Cricetulus griseus: one gene and its partners. The protein of the gene in region 1 purifies or fractionates together with the protein of each later gene. This does not show direct contact. Links are inferred from orthologs where the notes say so. Each region holds a gene or a part of one and is shown in the gene's direction. Other genes may lie near its edges.

The links.
Region 2: the proteins of Rbm17 (region 1) and Cherp purify together in Homo sapiens (co-immunoprecipitation; 4 studies listed by BioGRID and IntAct, counting the BioPlex papers as one, with this or other methods). This does not show direct contact. The link is inferred for Cricetulus griseus from reciprocal best matches to the Homo sapiens genes RBM17 and CHERP.
Region 3: the proteins of Rbm17 (region 1) and Snrpa1 purify together in Homo sapiens (affinity purification with mass spectrometry; 5 studies listed by BioGRID and IntAct, with this or other methods). This does not show direct contact. The link is inferred for Cricetulus griseus from reciprocal best matches to the Homo sapiens genes RBM17 and SNRPA1.

The regions. Positions count from the first base shown.
Region 1 is NC_048596.1:228,368,469-228,372,662, reverse strand, and holds part of Rbm17 (splicing factor 45), read left to right. Parts: intron 1-1,615; coding exon 1,616-1,732; intron 1,733-3,241; coding exon 3,242-3,408; intron 3,409-4,194. UniProt on the Homo sapiens protein: Splice factor that binds to the single-stranded 3'AG at the exon/intron border and promotes its utilization in the second catalytic step. Involved in the regulation of alternative splicing and the utilization of cryptic splice sites.
Region 2 is NW_023276806.1:247,223,986-247,228,279, reverse strand, and holds the start of Cherp (calcium homeostasis endoplasmic reticulum protein), read left to right. Parts: upstream 1-1,324; 5' UTR 1,325-1,441; coding exon 1,442-1,466; exon of another isoform or gene 1,467-1,547; intron 1,548-1,744; coding exon 1,745-1,918; intron 1,919-4,294. UniProt on the Homo sapiens protein: Involved in calcium homeostasis, growth and proliferation.
Region 3 is NC_048596.1:131,213,872-131,218,165, reverse strand, and holds the start of Snrpa1 (U2 small nuclear ribonucleoprotein A'), read left to right. Parts: upstream 1-1,494; 5' UTR 1,495-1,571; coding exon 1,572-1,653; intron 1,654-3,439; coding exon 3,440-3,587; intron 3,588-4,294. UniProt on the Homo sapiens protein: Involved in pre-mRNA splicing as component of the spliceosome. Associated with sn-RNP U2, where it contributes to the binding of stem loop IV of U2 snRNA.

The DNA.
Region 1 (4,194 bases):
TTTTTTTTTGCTTATTGATATATACACGTATGTATGTATGTATGTATGTATGTATGTATGTATGTATGTATGTATGTGTTTTTCAAGGCAGAGTTTCTCTGTGTAACCCTGGCTGTCCTGGAACTCAGGGATCTACTTCTGCTTCCCAAGTGCTGGGATTAAAGGTGTGAGCCACCACACCCAGCTATATATTTTATTGTCAGCTATTAGCAAATATCTTGAGATTTTAGCAATATCTTGAGCAAATAGATTTTAATAGATCAAGGTGGAATATTACTTTAATATGTTGTTTCTTTTGGGCTCCTCAGTGAGTTTCTCATAGTACTAATCAAACTTGTAAAAATATTTGGTAGAGAAAAATTTTACTTGTATCTAAAAGATGAAGCTATGGTTTCATTTGTATTTCATTTTTGGAAATACCTGTTAAATTTAAAATAAGCAAATAAATGATTATCATAACCCCTGTTATGCAAACTTTGGGGTTTATGTTGTGATTTTGCATTTGTATGACATGTTGTTTGCTTAAAGCACTGTTAAAGCTTAGACTCCCTAATAAGAATGAAAGTTTGTACCACAACTTTTCGTGATCACCATCATTCCATTTGACCAACCATGGCATCTTAGCAACCTGAGAACTTGATGTAGTTCACCAGCTCACTGTGAGACATTCTTGCCTACAAGCTTTACCCTGAGTCTAACCAGCTTCTAGAAATGCCAGACACAGAGTTAGCTGTGTTATTGTAAGTTAGCTAGAGGATCTAGAATAAGCATTCATAAGAACGATATCCCAGGGGAAAAACAAAGATGGTAATGGTGATAGGTAAGAGGGGCTGCTAAAGATTGAGACACGGATCAAAAGTACATTTTAAACTTTGTTTAAAAAAAACAAAACAAAGACTAGCTGTTTAACATGCACTTTGAGGATGGTGAGATGGCTCAGTGAGTCCAGCCTGATGACCAGAGTTTAAGTAGAACCCTATGGTACAAGGACAGACTTGTCCCTCCAGTCCCTCTGACCTCCATATAGTCACTGTGGTATTTGCATGTAAACACACATGCATACACACCCAAGTAAGTATATAAGTAATTTTAATTGGTTGAGTAAGGTTATACTAAAAGAAGTAGAGTAGAAGCTTGCCTTGGAAGGCAGAGAGGTGGATCCCTGCAAGTTTAAGGCTATTCAGAAGGTGGTCACATTTACTGTAAACTTTATAGAAAAGTGGAGGAAATCTGCTTTTAAAATGACCAAAAAGAATGGAGATATAACTCACTTGGTAGCATGTTTGCCCAGTTTTCAGTAAGTCCTGTGTTAAATCCCCAGCACTGTATAAACTGGGTCTGGTGATATATACCAGCACTCAGCAATGTGGAGGGAGGTGGATCAGGAGTCCAAGTTCATCACCAGCTATGTGGGGCACTGGAGGCCAGCCTGGGTTACTTAGGACCCTTCCTCAGAAAGCACTTAAGGACACTATACTAAAGACTGTTACTGTTTAAAATGATGGTTTTATCACAGGCAGAGGCTGGTTATAGAGAGTAGAAAAAGTGTCTGTGTTGCAAGTAGCATGAATTTTAATTTGGAACATTGGTATGTTTTTCTTGTTTCTGATGTCAGAGTCAGCGGACAAAACAAAGTACAGTCCTTGCCCCAGTCATCGACCTAAAGCGAGGAGGCTCCTCAGATGACCGGCAGATTGTAGACACACCACCTCATGTAGCAGCTGGGCTGAAGGTAAGCCTGCACATGCACATATCTGTGGCTTTAATGCATTTCCTGTTTGCTTTACACATATTTTCCTCTATTTTTTAAGATTGACTTTTTTTTTTTATCTGTGTGTGTGGTATGTGTGTGTCAGTGTCTGTGTATCTCTGTGTGTGTGTGTGTGTGTGTGTGTACCCTTGGAGGCCAGAAGGGGACATTAGATCTCTTGGGGCTGGAGTTAGGCCCAGTAAACACTCTGGTGTGGGTGCTGAGAACCAAATTCTGGTCCTCTGATAGAGAATAAGCACTCCTAACCACTGAGCCATCTCCAGCCCCACACAAGAGTCTCCCCAATAGGCCGTTGAAAGAGAGTTTCATTTCCAGCTCAGGTTTTACTTTGCTACCATCAAAACCTTTATTCCTTAAAATAGTTGATTTTGAAAACAACAGGTGTGAAAGATGGGCAAAAAAGAAAAGCAGGTATCTTCTTAATCATACTCTCCAGGCTTTAAAAGTTACATAATTTTAAGCCGGGTGTTGGTGACACATGCCTTTAATTCCAGCACCTTTAATCCCAGCACTCGGGAGGCAGAGGCGGGCAGATCTCTGTGAGTTCGAGGCCAGCCTGGTCTCCAGAGCAAGTGCCGGGATAGGCTCCAAAGCTACACAGAGAAACCCTGTCTCGAAAAAAAAAAAAAAAAAAAAAAAAAAAGTTACATAATTTTAGAATATCTTTCTTGGATGAGTTCTACCTTTTGTTCTCTAATTTCCTTTTCTTAATATATCAGTGAGTGTCCATCTTTGCCAAAAATACAGAACAATGTGGTTATTTAGAAATACTTGTATATGTATGAGGTTTTTGCCTGCACTACATGTGTACCTGTTGCCTGTGGGGGCACATTCCCTAGGACTGGAATTACAGACAGTTGTGAAAACCATGTGGGTGATGGGAATCAAACTTAGGTTCTCTGAAAGAGCAGGCAGTGCAGTCATAGCAATCAAGCCTGGTCTACAGAGCGAGTTTCAGGATAGCCAAGGCTACACAAAGAAAGCCTGTCTTGAAAAACAAAACAAAACAAAAACTTGAACATGGTGCTGCATGTCTTTAACAGGACAGGGCTCCAGAGAGGCAGGGGGATTGGGAGTTGTCCAGGCTCACCTTTGGCTCTGTGCCTAGTTTGTGGCTCTGTGAGACACTGTCTGGAAAATGATAATCCACTTTTACATGTATTTTCCTGCAGGTGTCATTCGAATGATGACTGTGGTAGTTTAAAACTCACTTAAACAATGATTAAGTTCATGAATTGTTTCAGTTTTAAGTTCTACAGTGCTTTTCTAGGAATAATTAAGCTTTTGCTTGATTGCCACAATATGCTGCCACCTGGTGAGATGTAGTTTGCTATGAATTGTTTACTCATCTAGGAAATATAAGATCCTTAGATGATCACGAAGGTCTCTTTCATCATCCTTTGACCTTGATTCTATGATAACCCTGCAGAATATGAAGATGGTACTCACTTGAATATTTTTCTTCCTCAGGACCCTGTTCCCAGTGGGTTTTCTGCAGGGGAAGTTCTGATCCCCTTAGCTGATGAATATGATCCTATGTTTCCTAATGATTATGAGAAAGTAGTGAAGCGCCAGAGAGAGGAGCGACAGAGGCAGCGGGAGCTGGAAAGACAGAAGGAAATAGAAGAAAGAGAAAAGTAAGTGTCGTCTTGATTTGGGAACAGATATCTTGTTAATGTACATTAGAATGTGAATGAATTTCTGTGTTGTCTCTAGGGGTGGGTTTATGGTTTCAATCTTCAGGAGTTTACTTGTTTGGTTTTTTTTTTTTTTAATGTATTTAGCCTACAAGTAAAGGTTACTTACTTCACACCTCCCTATTTTTTTTTAAGATTTTATTTATTTATTATGTATACAACATTCTGCTTCCATGTATATCTGCACACCAGAAGAAGGCACCAGATCTCATAACGGATGGTTGTGAGCCACCATATGGTTGCTGGGAATTGAACTCAGGACCTCTGGAAGAGCAGTCAGTGCTCTTAACATCTGAGCCATCTCTCCATCCCCGAGTTTACTTGTTTTTAAGAATTTGTAATTGTTCTGTCCCATTGTCCCCAAATAAACTTGAGAAAGTTTATTTATTTATGGGCTCTAAAAAACCTAAAGTGTAGACTTTGCATGAATTAGAAAAGTAACTTAGAAAACCCACTGGTAGCCAGGTGTGGTGGTACATGACTGTAATCCACCTACATAGTTTAAGACTAGCCAGGGCTACATGAGACTATCTGAAAACCAAAACACAATAGAAACCCATGTTGAAATTGTTAGCAGGGTTGTGACTGCCAGAATCACAACTACTTACAGTGTTTCAGTGTTATTCCTTTATTTTGGGGATTGGATTTTGGTTTTTCTAGATGGGGCTTGTCTGTGTAGCCCTCGCTGTCTTGGAACTCACTACGTATACCAGGCTGTCTTTGAGC
Region 2 (4,294 bases), on another chromosome or scaffold:
GTGGAACTTTCAGCAACTAAGCAGGTGTCCAAGAGAGGCAAGAGAATTAGGAGAAGCCAACATAATGGGCTCAAAGACACAGTTAATGGCTTGGGGGGCAGCACAAATGGAATAAGTAAACCCACGCCAGGGATGTCAGCACACAGCTCCAAGAGATACTGTGCACTCTTTCAGTCTCAGAGGGCACTGAAGTCACCTGCTCAAACCCACCAGACATGGCCGGCGTTGGTGGCGCACGCCTTTAATCCCAGCACTCGGGAGGTGGAGGCAGGCAGATCTCTGTGAGTTCGAGGCCAGCCTGGTCTACAGAGGGAGTGCCAGGACAGGCCCCGAAGCTACATAGAGAAACCCTGTCTCGAAAAACAAAAACACCAGACACATATACATGGTTAAATCAGTTTTTGTTTTTCCAGATATGGTTTCTTTGTCCTTTCCAGTCCTGGCTGTTCTGGAACTTGCTCTGTAGATCAGGCAGCCTTGAACTGCCTGCCTGCCTCTGCCTCCTAAGCGCTGGAATTAAAGGCGTGCACCGCTATGCCTGGCAAACTAAGATACATTTTTTTCTTTTTCTTTAGTACAGCTCTGTGCTTGCCAAGTATGCACGCATTCCTGGCTTCCAATCTTAACACCCCATAACCGCGATGCACACCTGTCATCGCAGCACTCAAGCTACAAGATCACCCCAACTATACAGGGAGTTAGAGGTCAGCTTGAGCTTCCTGAGACCCCATCTCCAAAAAGCAGAAGTAAATAACAAAATATGGCTGGGCGGTGGTGGCGCACGCCTTTAATCCCAGCCCTCGGGAGGCAGAGGCAGGCGCATCTCTTTGAGTTCCAGGTCCGTCAAGGCTACACAGGGAAGCCCTGTGTAGAAAAACCAAACAAGAAACAAAACAAGAAAAATTGGCTCTCCTCCCCTGTCAGCACGGTCTGCACGGTCGCTTCAGAAGCCGACGTCGTTGCTCACTTCCGTCTGTGGCTGATATTGGGGAGCCGGGCGCCCCCAGTTCAAAATTCTTACCCAACAGACACGGGTCGGAACGGGGGCCCCGAGCCGGGATCGTGTGCTTCGCCAGGTCCGGAGAGGCCCGGGAACACCCGGGCGAGAGTCTCGCAAGGACGCAAGAGCACAAACTCCAGCCGGCGCCGCTCCACACGCTCCGCCGCGTCGCGGGCCGGCGACCCAGCCTGCGCCTGCGCCAGGAAGCTCCCACGCATGCGCCTCGCCAGCCCTCCCGCGCGTGACTCCTCACGCAGCCTCTTCCCGCCCTCCTCCAGTCCTCACTTCCGGGGTTTCCTAGCGACGGCCGTAAATGGCGCGCCGAAGCGGCCCTCGAGGTCGTCGTAAACGGCTCCCTTCGCGCCACTTCCGGCCGGCTTCTGCGGCCGGTGCTGGTGGGCGATCGTGAGGCTCCGGAGGACGTTCCCAGCGGCTGCAGCCATGGAGATGCCGCTGCCGCCAGACGGTGAGGCCCGAACCTGAGCGGAGGTCGTTGGGTTCTCCCCGCGGGCCCCCGGCGGCCGGCCGTGCCTCTTCGAGTTCCCGGGTCAGAGACGAAGCGCGCTGCGGCCTCGCCGCTCCTCCCGCGGCCTCCCCCGTGGGTCCCGCATTCCAGCGCGCGCGCTTGGCCCCATTCGGGACCCGTACACCGCCGCCTCGCCGCGGCCCGCCCGCCCCAGAGGACCCCGGCCCGGTCCCCGGGTTCGGGCTGCTCCCACTGACGCCTTTTCCTCCGTCCTGCAGACCAGGAGCTTCGAAATGTCATCGACAAGCTCGCTCAGTTCGTGGCGCGCAACGGGCCCGAGTTCGAGAAAATGACGATGGAGAAGCAGAAAGACAACCCGAAATTCTCGTTTCTGTTCGGAGGCGAGTTCTACAGTTACTACAAGTGCAAGCTGGCTCTGGAGCAGCAGCAGCGTGAGTCCCCCCGCCCCGCCGCAGCCGCCTCCTTTGGGGTCGCTTGTCGGGTCCTCTGCGAAGCCGGTCGGTGGTGTTTCCGCTGTTGTTTCTGTCATTCCCGGGGCCCTGCAACCGAGATAGAGTCTGTGTGTCATAAAGGAGTCATAGAAGGGTCATAGATTCAGTTCCCGGGCGCCGGGTCGAGAGTTCCTGGATTGTCTTTGCAGAGGGGACGACGGTTTCTGCAGGAAGGCGGGAAGCAGAGGCTTGCTTGTACCTTCCTTGGGCAGGAACTGTGTAGCCCGTTCTGCAGGCTGAGGCCAGAGGTTTCTGTGCTTTTCAGATACATAGATCAAGAAGTTTTTTCTTTAGTTTTTTTTTTTTCTCTCTCTCTCTTTTTTTAATGGTTTTGACACAGAGTTTCTCTGACTGTCCCGGAGCTAGTTTGTATACTAGGCCGCCCTTAAACTCAGAGATCTGCCTGCCTCTTCCTTTCAAGTGCTGGAATTAAAGATGTGCACCACTCCTCTGGACCTAACTGTATCTTAAATGCCCAACTAGGTGATCATCAAGAAAAGCCTGATTTTAAAAAATAGTAAAAATAAAAGTTTTAGAGCCAAGTGTGGTGGGTCAGCCCCTTAATCCCAGTACTCAGAAGGCACAGGCAGGTGAATCTCTGAGTTTAAGGCTAGCCTGGTCTACATATCGAATTACAGTACAGGCTGGGGAATGTAGACCCTGTCTTAAAAAACTGGAAAAAAGAAAATAAAGAGTTAAGAAGCACAGCTGGTCTTTGAAGGTCTGACACTGTAGCCCAAGTTGATCTGGCATCAAGTTACCCAGGCTGGCTTCCAGCTCAAAGTAAACCAGCTTTTCAGGTGGTGGGATTACAAGGGTAAGGCAGCATACCCCAGTTTTGAATGATAATGTGTCAGCAGATGGTATGGGTCCTGAGGGCAGGACTCACATTTGTCATACCCTGGGTAGCTCTCTGGCCTCTGAATGGGCTGTTGAAATGAGTGCCTGCCCTTGGAAAGCCATGGATATTCAGAGGTCATAGCTGCTGAGCCACAGTCCTCTGCTGCCAAATACTTTCTTTGTTGTGCTCTAGCAGTGTGTTGTGGATGATTGGTAGAAAGCTATTAGGACAGTTAGACTTGAGCCCATGGAGCACAGAGGCATGAGTAAGCCATGTGTTCAGAGAGGAGCCACCGATGGCCGTGTGAACTTGGGGGGGGGGGCGTTAATATGGAGAGTTTTGATATACCAAGGTGGGCTGGAGTCTGTCAGTCATAAGGTTTTGTTTCCTGTTTAGTTTTGAGAGAGGTCAGCTGTTTGATGTCACCAGCAGGGTGTCTCTGATCATTCCTTAGCCCCAGAGCACCAAGTTCATAACCCTAAGGCAGCAGAGAGCCACAAGTGGGTTGAAACAGGTTCCAACACAACAGGCTGGAGTTGGGAAGGTGTTCAGCATGGATGGGTGTGGGGACAGGTAGACTGACCCCCTGGGGGATGGGTGAGGGGTGGCAAAGTGGGAGGAAGCTTTGACAATGCCTTGGAGTGAATATCCCTAAGAGCTACACAGGAAGTCCCTACCCACCCTTCCCACCTGGACCGGCACTTGTTGAGGCCATAGGCTTAGTGCTATAGCAAAGAAAGGAAAGTGTGTAGGAACCATGGCAGATTGGGGGCTGGGGACAGGAAGACAAATCCGAGAGCCATACCATAGTATGATATACTGAACATGACAGGGGCAGCCAGGGGCAAACTGGAGAGAGTCTTGGGCAAGTTGGGGGGAGGGGGAGACAGGCTGAGGGCAGTGGACAGTGGAAGTCCAGAAGAGGGTTTGGGTTTGGTCACAAGGGAGAGAGACATGGAGTAGGGAGGATCTGCTTGCTGAGGAGCTATGAGCATCACCTGAAGTTAGGCTCAGAAGGGGCTGCAAGCCTACTCAGTATTTTATCACTAAACCTTGGGCTGGTCTGGAATGATACTTTGCAAGCTCTATGGTAAAGGACTGGTGTTCAGTTTGCTTCTTAAAACTTTTTTTTTCCTTTGTTTTTTGAGACAGGGTTTCTCTGTGGCTTTGGAGCCTATCCTGGAACTAGCTCTTGTAGACCAGGCTGGTCTCTAACTCACAGAGAATCTGCCTGCCTCTGCCTCCCGAGTGCTGGGACTAAAGGTGTGTGCCACCACCGCCATGACCTTATATTTGTAAAGTACAATAAAAAAATAATGTGAGCTGTGGGGTGTTGCCTATCCCATAGATTATCACTCAAGGCAGGGCTGCTCCACAGGCTGCTGTCTGCTATGTGCAGAGGGGCCACTCTGCTGCAGGACATAGCTCTTTACTAGGTGTGATGCAGACACAGGCAGAGGTATGGCTAACACTGC
Region 3 (4,294 bases), about 97 Mb from region 1:
GTGGTGCCTATCTGTAACCACAGCACTTGGGAGACTGAGTTGGGAGGATTGCAGTGATTTACAGGCCAGCCTGAGCTTCAGTGTGAAACCCTGTCTTAGAATAACCAAAATCAGGGCTGGGGATGTGGCTCAGTAGAGTACCTGCCTCAGCATGCACAGAAACTCAGAGTCCACTCCCACCACTACATGAGCTCAATCCAATCATCCCAGCACTTGGAGGTGGAGGCAGGGAGGTGAGATGTTCAAAGTCATCCCCTGACTTAGCCATTACAGCTCTTTCAGAGGACCTGAGTTCATTTCCAGCAACCACCTGTAACTCCAATCTCAGAGAATTTAGCATCTCTGAAGTCTGTGGGTATCTTCACCCATGTGCACAAAACCACACAGGTAATTTTAAAAAAAGATTTAAAGAATGCTTTTCTGCTTTTGCAGAGGACTGGAGTTCAGCCTGTAATACACATGTCCACAGGATTACAACAGCTAGTTCCAGGGAATCTCAGGCCATAAGCCTCCCCTGGCACCCACAAACAAGTGGCATATACACTAATTAATAAGCTAAGATAAAAAATAAGCGCACTAATTCGTAGAATTGGGTTCCTGGCCGTCTTTGGGGACAGAGGCCAAGGCTCTGCAGGTGTGTGTGTTCACTCTGTTGGCATTCATCAAATGTCAGGTTTCTGATGTGTGTACGCCCCTGCTCTTCATATGAATTTTGTTGCTGTTGTTGGTTTTTTTCAAGCCGGGTTTTCTCTGCATAGCCCTGGAACTCGCTCTGTAGATCAGAATGACCTGGTCTCATCTCACAGATCTGGCCTCCCAAATGCTGGGATTAAAGGCGTTCCCCGCCACGCCCAGTTTACAATATGAATATCATTTAAGCTTTATTTTATTTTTATGTTTGCGATTGCCGGTGTCCGAGGAGGTTAGAAATGGGCGACGAATCCCTGGGGCTGTAGTTACAAGCAGTTGTGAGGTGCACAACTGGGTACTGAAATGAGACTCCTTTTGCAAAAGTCTTTTGCAAAAGCAGCAAGTGCCCCTAACCTCTATGCCATCTCTCTGGCTAGCCCCTCGACATCAATACTTAAATGTCTAGACGCCGCAAGTCCACCCTGAGGCTTTAAGGTGACCATACTAGCTCGGATGTTGCCCATCTTAAGGCAGTCCAGCCGAATGGCCCAGCCTTGTCTCTGCTGGACCGCAAATCTTAGAAACCTGAATCCCTGAAGCTTTGGCGGAGTGTCCGCCCCCTGTTGGACAATCCCAAATACCCCAGCCTCGAGGTTCACTGAAGTGAGAGTGCCTCTCTCGTGTTCTTATCTTTTGGACACAAATATCTGGAATCTGGGCTCGCCACACTCCAGGAACGCACCAGCCAAGAAGAACCAAGAAGCAAAGACGACGATCGCAACGCCCGGCGGTGCCTTCGATCGATTGCTTTAGCCTGGTGGTCGAGGTGAGCGCCGCTCCGATTGGTTTTGTCTGGCAGCGCGGCGCGGTGCACCCTGGGACACGGCACTGGCGGGAGGCGCAGGCCGGTGGCCGAGGTGAGGGGACTCGGCGGCGGCAGGATGGTGAAGCTGACGGCGGAGCTGATCGAGCAGGCGGCGCAGTACACCAATGCTGTGCGGGACCGCGAGCTGGATCTTCGCGGTGAGTTAGGGGGATCGCGGGCTGTGTCCGGGCTCGGCGCGAGGCCGGGAGGAGCGGGCCCCGCCGCGTGCGCGGAGGCCGGAGCCTGGCCCGGGGGCCTCCCGCCCGGGTTTAGGGTACCTCCTCCGATCGCCGGTCCCTCAGGACCCTTTGGAGCCGTCTGTTACCCGCTCCCGCTAACAGACACGGCTTCTCCGTTCCTTCCCGGGTCCGTATTCGTTAGGCTTTGCCCGGCATGCTCAGCAGCCTGAACTGTTTGAGGGCCAGGAAAATAGAAAATGGTATCTTCCGGACCGCGACCGGCTGGTTTTTAGCAAATGCGTTAATATGACACGTGAGGGTAGATTAGATATAAGTCAAAGTTATCTTAATTATACAATAATTCCATTTTGGGTCTGCTCATTTGTTTTTTGAGACAGGGTCTCCTGTACTCAGAGCTGGCTTCAAACCGCTGTGTAGTTAGGGACGTTCTCGAACTTCCGGCCCTCTTGCCTCCACTTCCCGGCGCTGGGTTTAAACGTGTGCCCCATGTTTATATGGTGCTGCGGATGAACCCAGGATTTTGTTCTTGATAAACAAGCACTCGCCCCACAGAACCAGGTCCCCAGCCCCTGATAATTCACTTTTATAAGAAGGTGTTTTCTAGCTTGATCTGTTTGACCAAGGCTTATAGTCATCACTCCCATGTGAGGGGTGGTGAACACTAACCTGTTGAGTAGAGCTTGGTTTAAAAAAACAAAAACAAAACACAGCATTAGCTGGGCAGCGGTGGCACACGCCCGGCACTCGGAAGGCAGTGGCAGGCGGATCTCTGAGTTCGAGGCCAGCCTAGTCTCCTGTGTCGAATAAAACAAGAAAATGACAATAATAACAAAATATAGCATTGAAAGTGCAGTTATCTACTTTTCAGGAGATGGCTTTGAAAGGGGTTAGGATTATATAACTGTGTCATGAGGCAACCACAGTCTCGGGGACTATACTCTGCCATTTGCTAAAATGCCTTGCTGACCTATAGAAAATCCTAGTGCTTTTGTTAGACATTAGCTTTCTCAGACAAAAGTCCATTTCAGAGGTATCTGAACCCTTTTACTGTCTTGGCACACAGTTTTGGTCTCTGCTGCATCTCTGAAGACCATGCAGTCTTGATAAAGCTTATTTTATTGCGCTCTTTCACAACTGAGTGAAAGTTGTGTACTAAGTTTCTCTTCTTCCTTTGGCACCTAGCTCGATGGTTATGCCCATTAGACAATCAAGGGGATGTTCACAGTGTGGTTTGTGGTTGTATAGACACCATTTTCAGCTCTGAATTGGAGCTGGTGGAGAAGAGAGTGAGTCAGGATAGCATGAGGATATACTGCTGAGTTATGTGAATGGTTTAGAAGGCTGGTCACCAGTGTCCCAGCAAGACTTGAGCATTAACAGTAAGCAGTGTTAACTTGACATAGAGCCTGACACTCTTAAGAACTTTGAACAGTGTAAATACCTTGTAGATGTTCTCATAAACAGTGGACACCAATATTACTAAGTATACGCCTGTGTTCTTGTTCTTGCCTTCAACCTCCTCTTCAAGTTTACTGCATGACCACACGCTTCGAGGCAGTAAGGACCCTGTAACTCATTTGTCACTTATCTTCAGTATTTTTGTACAGAGTGTGACATGGCACCCGTGCCGGTTTAATACTTCTTGAATGAGTACTTTGAGTCTAATTACAATCAGATGCTCCTACTGTTTTCAGGACCTTTCATTTATATTAATATTTGCTGTATGTATTTTTCCCCTCTACAGGATATAAAATCCCTGTCATTGAAAATTTAGGTGCTACCTTAGACCAGTTTGATGCTATTGATTTTTCTGATAATGAGATCAGGAAACTGGATGGTTTTCCTTTATTGAGAAGACTGAAAACATTATTAGTGAACAACAACAGAATTTGGTGAGTGTCTGCTAGTGAGAATACTTTTCTACCTTGAAAAGATGTTACAATGTACCCTGAAGAAAGACATGATTTGTTTTTAGTTTTCATTTTATGTATATTAGTGTTTGGCCTGCAAGTGTGTCTGCACTATCTGTATACCATTGTGGTGCCTTTGGAGGCCAGAAGAGGGTGTGAGTTCCCTGGAGCTGGAATTACAGACAGTTGTGAGCTCTCATGTGGGTACTAGGAATAGAATCTGGGTCCTCCGGAAGAGCAGCCAGTGCTCCAGCCTCTCCATGTCTCTTCTTAAAGGGAGGAATGAATCGAGCACTTTTTCTAAGAGATTGGGAGACTAACGTGGGCATTGGTCTGACCTTACTTGCTATCTTCAGAGATCTTTAGTATTCGTAGTTGATACTAAACTTTGAATTTAAATTTAAAACATGTTGCTCTGTATACATTTCAGATTCTAGAGCAATTACCAACAGCATCATAATAAAAATGATTTATAAAAGTCAGGTGTAGTGGTGCCCACCTTTAATCCTAACAGTTGGAAGGCTGAGGCAGTCCAGCCTTGTCTCCACAGCAAGTTACAACTGATGCTACAGAGTGAGACCCTGTCTCAATAACATCCTTTTTGTTTGTTTGTTTTTCAAGACAGGTTTTTCTCTGTGTAACTTTGGAGCCTGTCTTGGAACTCACTTGGTAGACCAGGCTGGCCTTGA